Linked DNA regions of Caenorhabditis elegans. The protein of the gene in region 2 purifies or fractionates together with the protein of the main gene of each other region. This does not show direct contact. Each region holds a gene or a part of one and is shown on either strand. Other genes may lie near its edges.

Region 1 (3,740 bases), on a different chromosome or scaffold from region 2:
CCAATCCCAAGTCTGCGTCTGGGACACCAACAGCCAGCCAGGAACTCTTCCAACTCCAGCCCCATACGTCTCCACCCAGGCTCCACAGAACGCTCAATGCGGATGCACCGGAGGAGTTCAAATCGGATCATGCAACCAAAACTACCAGTGCCCAGGACAATCGGTCTGCCAAGTCGGACAAAATGCCGGACAACAGGTAAGAGAGTAGTGTCTAGAAGCAAGAGATCGGCAACCAATTCAACCGGTTTCCGTTCTTGTGTGTGGCAATTGAGACGATTACAATAGGGACGGGGGTGTGTAAGAATGGGGAGGGAGGCTCGAATAGATCATAAGCAAACGAACACTCTTTCAGTGCATGGTTTGCTGCTACTTCCGCAAGAAGGCCCGTCGTTTCTAATCGATCGAACATCTCACACACATCATCATCGAACCAAAAACTGCTACAATCTTCTCGCCTTTTTGTATATACCGTGAAGAAAACAACAATCATGAAACGGATACGCATAGACAACCATAATTGTACCGCCTAGTTTGCCCTCACTTTTCCCCCGTCTTCCCCCAAATCCCCAATCCTTATTTGTATTCCGAATTGTCCAATGTCTAGGGTTTTCTCTCCAATGATAACTATTATATAACTTATGATGGTACTTCAATAAATATATATTTTCAATACTTTTCTGGTTTTTGTCTGATACCCCGGATTTGCAGTGATTTTAATGGTTTGTTCAAATATTTTAAACTCAAATACTTTGCTTATTGGAAAAATGTTTTCAACTAACAAAGTATTGACGAAAACTTTTTCTACACTTTGGATTTTTCAAAATTATACAACTCTGTTCCAGAAAAAAAGCTACAGCAGCTGACATCAGGCGGGTCGGTTTTTTTATTAGAATTTCCAAGTATCTAAACGCTTGGTGTTTTCATAAAACAAAGTTTAATAAGAAAATAATTTTCGCAGTTTTCTACTTTTTGCAATTTGTTTGTATTTCATATGAATCTCAAATTTCGAAATACATTTAATAAACATTTAAATTGTTATTGGTTTTTTAGTGGAGTACTTAAGCAATTATAGGAAGTGCAAATTGCAAAATGTAAAAAACTTTGTGGAGATAATTTTCTTAGTGTACCTTGTTTCATGAAAACACCTAATTTCAAAGGTACTTATTTTTAAATGACAACAAGCTTATTTTGGTAAAATAATTGAAAAAAAAACAATTTAGTAGTTCACGATCTGTTGGATGATGGCTTGAATTTTCTCGTCTGAAAATAACCGAATGTTTAATCTTATTTCAAATTTTAAAAACTCACGTTGAAAGAATTCAACGACGATGGGGAACTCATCGGTGATGGTGGCCTTGGCGTTTTCAGAAAGTGTTTTATATTCAGCAATGTATCCCTTGAAGAGTTTCTTTACCATCTCAGGAGTTGGCTGGTATCCGGCATGGAACTGTTGCCGGAAAGAAAGTCCCTGAGCGATGACTTTCCCGAATAAAGCCAGAGCGGCGGGGTCGAGTTTCGCGAGTTTTGTGCGGAGTAGGACGTCGAGTTTTTCAACCTTAGCGTACAGGGATGGGGACCGCTCCTTGATATCAGCACTCAATTCTTCAACAGATTTGTTTCCTCCCATAACACTTTTGATAAATTCCTTAATAGCAGCTTTCTCCTCAGTAGTGATGGATTTAAGGTATTCAGTAACTTTAGCTGGGATGAGTTCCTTGAACTCAGCTGGGATGTCGTCTAAGCTTTGTGGTAAGCGTGAAATTGGAGCAGAAAAGACAGCGACGGAGGCAAGTGCTATGACAAGGAAGATGCGGATCATTGCTATAACATTTTAAATTATATAGGTTGCCACTTTTAATTGAAATAGTCTGGATATCATAAAATCACGGAAAGCGAATAGAATATTGGCCGGCACTGTAGATGTGAAAATGCTTTCAGGCCATTTTTTTCACAAAGTCAACAGTTCAAAAAAAGACCCATAAAAGTTTTTTTTCATGTCTACTGTATGTTGTTTTATAATTTATATTTCTAAAAGAAAAATAGATGAGAAAAATGAGAAAAAAACGGCAGAACTTAAAGAAAAGAAAGCTCGGCGCCGCTTCTGCTGTGCAGCTCCTGCTCCGCCGGCCATGTTTTTATACGACCTTGGATGACCCATCGTTAACGAAATAGTGTACCGAACCGAGAGTTCCAATGAAATGTCACGTTCCCTTCGAGACACATGACTCACTTTCCCTGGATTTCTATTATTAAGAAAACTACTTTTAGTGTAATGAAGTTTAGGGTTTTCTTTTTGAACCTAAATCTGTGTGGTGCCAAAATGCAACAATATCATTGTAAAGCTTTTTAAAATTTGGTTGGAAAAAATTTTAATTGATAGTCAAAAAGTGGCAATTACTAAGTTTTTGCCACTTTTTGAGAAAACTATAGCGCATGTTTGAATCCCTACAATGAGCCCACAGAAACCGAGCTGTGACCTGTAAAACAGAATTACGGAGATTACCATGACTGACCTTAATAGTTGCATTTACAACAGTGCATCGGGTTTAAGCTGATCCAGTTTCTCATTTAGTACAAATACCTGAAAATATAGTCTCTGTGAAATATCTCCAATGACTTAAAATGTACCTAAATTAACAAAAAAAAACAAAAGAGAACCTCTTTTTCTTGAACTTCTTGAAAAAATGAGTTCGCAGTCATTTTCAGAATACTGGAACAAAACATTTTGATCGGTTTCGGAAATATGATTAGGCGAGTCTTGGCTAAAGAAATTCCGTCAATTCAAAATTGATTTATTTCTGAATCGTCCCGTCCCTACCAACTCTTTATCTGACTTTTTTCTAACTATTAGGCATTGTTTTAATGCATATCAATCAAATTTTTTATCTATCATTTTTTTTGGAATTCCGTTTGACATTATCAGTGTCAAATATTGCATGTTTTACGTGTCAAGTGGAAGGACTGATAATCGGTTTATTGGAACTTTGCTTTCAGTTCAATAAAGTGAAACTTTGAACTAAGGGCAAGAATTTGTAGTGTCAAAAAATCAGGAAAAAATATCTTGAATACGTGCGTGCCTACCACCATTTTTTGCAATTTCGAGTGAATTCAGATGCATTTTTTTTAGCAAAACCGAAAAATCGAAAAGTCGAAAAATTGGAGAACCGAAAAACGAAAATTTTCGATATTTCGATAGTTTCGAAAAACCGACAAACCGGCAGCCCTGGTGTAAATCAGGGGGTGATCGGCAATTGCCGTTCGGCAAATTCGGCAAATCGGTAAATTTGCAGTTTGCCGATTTGCCGGAAATTTTCAATTCTGGCAATTTCCCGGTTTGCCAATTTGCCGGAAATTTTCATTTACGGTAAATTGCCGATTCGCCGTTTGCCGGATATCAGATTTGCCGGAAATGTTTAGAGGGATTTTTTATAAGACGGAAACACTTAAAACTGTGTCTTTACGAATTTTTTCAGTATTTCTACATATTTTCAAAGAATTTGCTTACTTTTCAAAATAGATGTAGGAACATTCATAGGATGCGTGCAATTTTGCCATTTGAAATTGAAATTCTGAAATTTCCAAAAAAAAAAGTGCGAAACCACAATTTGACGAAAGTTTTCGGCAAATTGCTTTCTTTCGGCAAACTCGGCAAATCGGCAAATCAGAAATTTGCCGGTTTGTCGATTTGCCGGAAATTTTCCATTCCGGCAATTCGCCGATTTGCCGATTTGCCGGAAAAA
Region 2 (5,313 bases):
CATTGTACCAACTGTATCATTAATCAATGCAACTATATTCACTTTAACACGTCCATCACGTGCAATCGCATCTTCTAACAGTTGTACGACGTCTTCGCCCACGCATCCTGTCGCTGTTACTCCTTTTGTCCATCTGTGAAAATGCCCTCTTTTTTTTTGTTGAATTTTTGGGTCCCACCACGCGATTTGTGGGTTACTGTACCTGAGCAGCGTGGCCGATCGGAGCCCGGTTTGATCGCAGGGATACGAGAAAGTGAATCCAACAGGCAAATGCTCATCGGCGAGCTCACGTTCGACAAGAAAATCGCACAGAGCTTTGGCAATGTAGTCGAAAAGCTGAAAACATTTTTTTGGAATTTTCTGGAAAATCAGGAAATTTAGGCTAATTTTAGCGATTTTTTTAAAATTTTTAGGTGAAAATTCAGTGAAAAGCGGGAAAAAATTAGTTTTTCATGCGAAAAATTAAAAAATTAAAAGGTTTTCCGGCTTAAAATGCAAACTTTTCCCCAGTTTTCAGGCTGAAAATCTCGAATTTTTAGATTTTTGAGGTCGAAAACAAGACATTTTCAGGTTTTTCTGTATGAAAACCACCAAATTTTCCGGGTTTTCCGGCTGAAATTTATGAAATTTCAGGGTTTTCTTATTGAAAATCGCGAAATTTTCAGCTTTTTACGCGTAAAAAGTCCAATTTCTCAGACTTTTTAGGCTAAAAAACTAAAATTTTCCGGTGGGGGGCTTCAGGCTGAAAATTAGGAAATTTCCAGGTTTTCCGGCTAAAACTTATAAAATCTCAGGGTTTTAGGCTGAAAATCACCATATTTTAAGGTTTTCAGGCTGAAAATTACGGAATTTTCAGGTTTTTACGCTTAAAAAGTCCAATTTCTCGGACTTTTCAGGCTGGAAAACATGAAATTTCTCAGATTTTTTAGGTTAAAAAACTAGAATTTTCCGGTTTTTAGACTGAAAATCACGAAATTTTGAGATTTTTTAAGTTAAAAAACCAAAAATTTCCAGTTTTTTTGGCTGAAAACTTCGAATTTTTAGATTTTTGAGGTCGAAAACAAGGAATTTTCAGGTTTTCAGGCTGAAAATCACGAAATTTTCCAATTTTCAAGCTAAAACACGCAATTTTTCCGGTTTTTCCGGCTGAAAATCGCGGAATTTTCAGGTTTTTTTATGAGAAAAAACCAAAATTTCTCAGATTTTGAGGCTGAAAATCACAATTTCTCAGTTTTTTGGGTTTGAAAACCGGAATTTTTCGGTTTTTTCAAGCTAAAATACGCAATTTTTCAGTTTTATCCCTCTGAAATTTATGAAATTTCAGGGGTTTCAGGCTGAAAATGTCAATTTCTCGGATTTTTTAGGGTAAAAAACCAAAATTTTCCAGGTTTTCATGCTGAAAATCCCCAATTTTCAAGTTTTTCATAGCTTTTTTTCTGCTTTTTTCACGAAAATTCCCAATTTTCATGGTTTTCTTCAAATTTCAGTGGCAATTTCTTCAACTTTTATCGCTTTTTTTCCAGTTTTTCAGCGCGTTTTCAGGCTAAAAATCCCGATTTCCTCGTACTTTTTGTCCGGTTCCATGCATTGCGGCATTTGGCATTCTTGTATTAAATTGTTTAGTTCTCATCGGCTCACCGGGCTCCAGTTCCATCAACATTACACGTAGATTTGTGCCTCCGAGGTCCATTGCAACGAATTTTCCACGTTCTGCAAAAGAAAATCATTGATTTTTACTGAAAATTCGGCGGAAAGTGGCTGATTTTGGTGTAGGTGGCTTAGAAAATGGTGAACTGGGATTTCTAGGCCACCTAAAGTTAGGCCATAGTATGACAGTTGTTGTTTTGCCGCAAGAATGGAGTTCTTGGTAAAAATCTGGTGGAAAATGAGTAGGTGGCCTAGAAAAAGCTAGTTTTGGATTTCTAGGCTACCTAAAGTTAGGCCATGGTGTGAATTCATTGAAATTTACGATTTTTTCAGTAGAACATGAAATTTTCGTGAAAATTTGGCGCAAAATTGCTGCTTTTGGTGATGGTGGCCTAGAAAATGGAGGCCTGGGATTTCTAGGCCACCAAAAATTAGGCCATAGGCTGAAAATATGAAAATCAACGTTTTTTCAGCAGAACATGGAATTTTCTTGAAAATTCGGGGGAAATGAATGAGTTTTGTGTAGGTGGCCTAGAAAATGATGGGTTTGGATTTCTAGGCCACCAAAAGCTAGGCCATGGATTGAAAAATCGAATTTTTAGCCAATTTTTCGGATTTTTTGAATTTTCAGTCAAATTTTCTACGTTTTCAAGAGAAAAATCAGTGATTTTTATGAAAATTCTTGCTTTGGTGGCCTAGAAAATGGTATATTTGGATTTCTAGGCCACCAACTGGAAAGTTAGGCCACGACCGTAAAAACCCATTCTTAGGCCATTTTTTCTCGATTTTTCGATTAAAAACCTTTTCCATTCGGCAATTCTGGCACAAAAGATGGTAACATTGCAATTGTGGACCGTTCCAAGCCGGATTCCAGTCCTCGATCCATATTATCTGATAAATGGGACATCATTCGTCGGAGAGTCGTATTTGACAGCTTAAACTCGGCCATCACGGATTCCAGCTGCAAAAATATCGATTTTTAGGTGGTAAATTGGTTGGTGGCCGTGAAATTTGGGTTTCTAGGCCACCGAATGGAAAAGTTAGGCCACGGACTGATTTTTGATCAAATTTTGATATTTTTAACGGGTTTTAGAGTTAAAAAGCAGCAAATACTCAAATTGTATTTTACGGTGGCCTAGAAAACCCAAAACCGGATTTCTAGGCCACCAATTCGGAAAGTTAGGCCATCGATTCGAATTTCGGTGATTTTCGAAGATTTTCACTTTTTTGGACATTGAAAATGAAGTTAATATCAGATTTTTCTGAAAAGGTGGCCTAGCCGGATTTCGAGACCACCAATTCGAAAAGTTAGGCCATGGACTGATTTTTAGTGAAATTTTGCATTTTTCGACTATTTTTTACGACAATTTCAGCGAAATATGCCAATTTATTGTGTATTATAAGGATTTTCATGCTTAAAAAGCCATTTTCAACAGTTTTTCTCCCGAAATTTTCCGCCAAATCTCCCACCGAAATCGATTCTTCATTCAGTTTCGACGCCATTTTTGCCAGCGGAGTCGTCGGCGTCCGCGGGCTCTTTTTTCCCTTTCCATGGGCTTGTGAACGCCATATCCTGAAGAAAAATGCGGTTTTATCGATTTTATCGATTTTTCCCGGGCGGAAAAAATTGAAAAATGTGAAAAATACCGATATTGAATGCCGAGCTCGATGATACCCAGCATTTTGTGTAGATTTTTGGGCTGAAAATGTTAATTTTGACATTAAAAAATAGTGGGAAAACAGATTTTTTATTTGTTTTTAAGAAAAATAAAATAATAAAAACCACGGGTTTCAGGGGCACACACAAATTGTCAATATTTTTGAGTGAAGATTTGACGAGAAGACGAGGAAAAACATGACGAAGAGACGCAGGCGAAACCCTTCGAAATTGATGATAGAAATGCTTTTTTTTTTGCAAAATAAAATAAAATACGGAAAATGTCAAGTGTGTGCGGCGGTTTGCAAATATCGCGCGCCCGCATTGCAATTGAGCCACTCCGCCCCTTTTCTCTATTTCTCAATGTTTTTTTTTGCAATTTTCCTCTATTTTTTCGGTTTTTTCGCAATTTTTTCGCAATTTTTAATGTTTTTTTCCACAAAAATTAACAATTTTCAGAGCAAATGAGTGCTCAAAACTATCACGCCGGCCTCCACCAGTCGAGTACACAGAGGTTCGTTGGATTTTAAGCGAGAAAACCCCCGGTTTTTCGTTGATTTTCACTAGAAATTCGTGATTTTAACGTGAAAAACACCCCAGATAACTAAAAAATCCACGATTTTGATTTGCAAAACAAAAAAATCAAAAAAAAATTCGCAGAAAATTGATTTTTCGGCAGTTTTTGAGTGAATTTTCACACCGAAATTTATTAAATTAGCGATTTTAACAGCATTTTCCACTGAAATATCACCAAAAATCCAAATTTAAACCTAAATTTTCACTAAAAACCGAGTTTTCCACCTTTCTGAGCAGATATTTATCGATTTTAAGCAATTTTAGAGAGTTTTCCGCTGAAATTTTCGAAATTTTCCCCGAAAAATCGATATTTTCATATGAAAAACTATTAAAAAACTATAGTGAAAATCGCTGTTTTTTCCAACTTTCAGTTTTTTAGGCTGTTTTTTTCACTAAAAAGTCGATTTTCACCCGAAAAAACCGGGGTTTTCAACTATTTTTACTCATTTTAAAGCAATTTTAGGGTGATTTTCACTGAAATTTCTCATTTTTCCCAATAAAAATCGATATTCTCGTTGAAAAACTACGGAAAATCCCTGTTTTTCCAACTTTTTCAGTAGGTTTAGGGTGTTTTTTCACTAAAAAATCCAAATTTTTTCGATTTTCCCCTAAGAAACCCGGTTTTTCACCTATTTTTGGGTAATTTTCACTGAAATTTCCAATTTTTCCCCTCGAAAAATCGATATTTTTACGTAAAAGACACCTTTTGAACACTAATTTCCACTGGAAATCCCTGTTTTTTTCACCAAAAACCCAAATTTAAACCTAAATTTTCACTAAAAACCGGGTTTTCCATCTTTCTGAGCAGATATTTATCGATTTTAAGCAATTTTAGAGGGTTTTTCGCTGAAAATTACCTCAAAATCACTCCGAAAAATCGATATTTTCATGTGAAAACTACTGAAAATCGCTGTTTTTTCCAACATGTTCATTTTTTTGTACTAAAAAGTTTTCGTCCGAAAAAAACCGATTTTTCACCTATTTTTACTCATTTTAAAGCAATTTTAGAGTGATTTTTCCCCGAAAAATCAATATTTTTACGTAAAAAACACCTTTTTAACACTAATTTCCACTGGATTTTTTTCGGCAAAAATAATGAAAATTCACTCAAAATTCGTGATTTTAACGTGAAAAACACCCCAAAAAACCGAAAAATCCACGATTTTGATGACAAATCCCCTAAAAAGTACTCATTTCCACCCAAAAAACCGCATTTTTTCATGTCCAGACCTCCGAAGCGGCCGAACACCGAGCATGCTCAGGAGCCGCCGAAAAGGTACGGAATTTAGGATGGAAAGTCGATATTTTCCACTGCAACTTTTTCCTCACGAGGGACGAGGAAAAGTGGTTTCTAGGCCATGGCCGAGGAGCCGACAAGTTTCAGCGGCCATTTATCTTGCTTTGTTTTCCGCCTGTTTTCTTTTGTTTTTCAC

Evidence for each region. Proteins that work in one complex are often made in the same cells at the same time.
Region 1: the proteins of hxk-2 (region 2) and far-6 fractionate together in Caenorhabditis elegans (co-fractionation; one large-scale study listed by BioGRID). This does not show direct contact.

What each region holds. Positions count from the first base shown.
Region 1 is NC_003282.8:13,326,440-13,330,179, reverse strand, and holds far-6 (Fatty-acid and retinol-binding protein 1), read right to left. Parts: upstream 1,822-3,740; 5' UTR 1,820-1,821; coding exon 1,309-1,819; intron 1,261-1,308; coding exon 1,217-1,260; 3' UTR 866-1,216; downstream 1-865. Other genes in the region: pqn-74 (Chitin-binding type-2 domain-containing protein), read left to right, coding at 1-196, 353-397.
Region 2 is NC_003279.8:11,319,764-11,325,076, forward strand, and holds the start of hxk-2 (Phosphotransferase), read right to left. Parts: upstream 3,348-5,313; 5' UTR 3,330-3,347; coding exon 3,295-3,329; intron 3,221-3,294; coding exon 3,118-3,220; intron 2,609-3,117; coding exon 2,449-2,608; intron 1,711-2,448; coding exon 1,568-1,710; intron 337-1,567; coding exon 203-336; intron 134-202; coding exon 1-133. Other genes in the region: cdk-9 (putative cyclin-dependent kinase 9), read left to right, coding at 3,769-3,818, 5,109-5,156.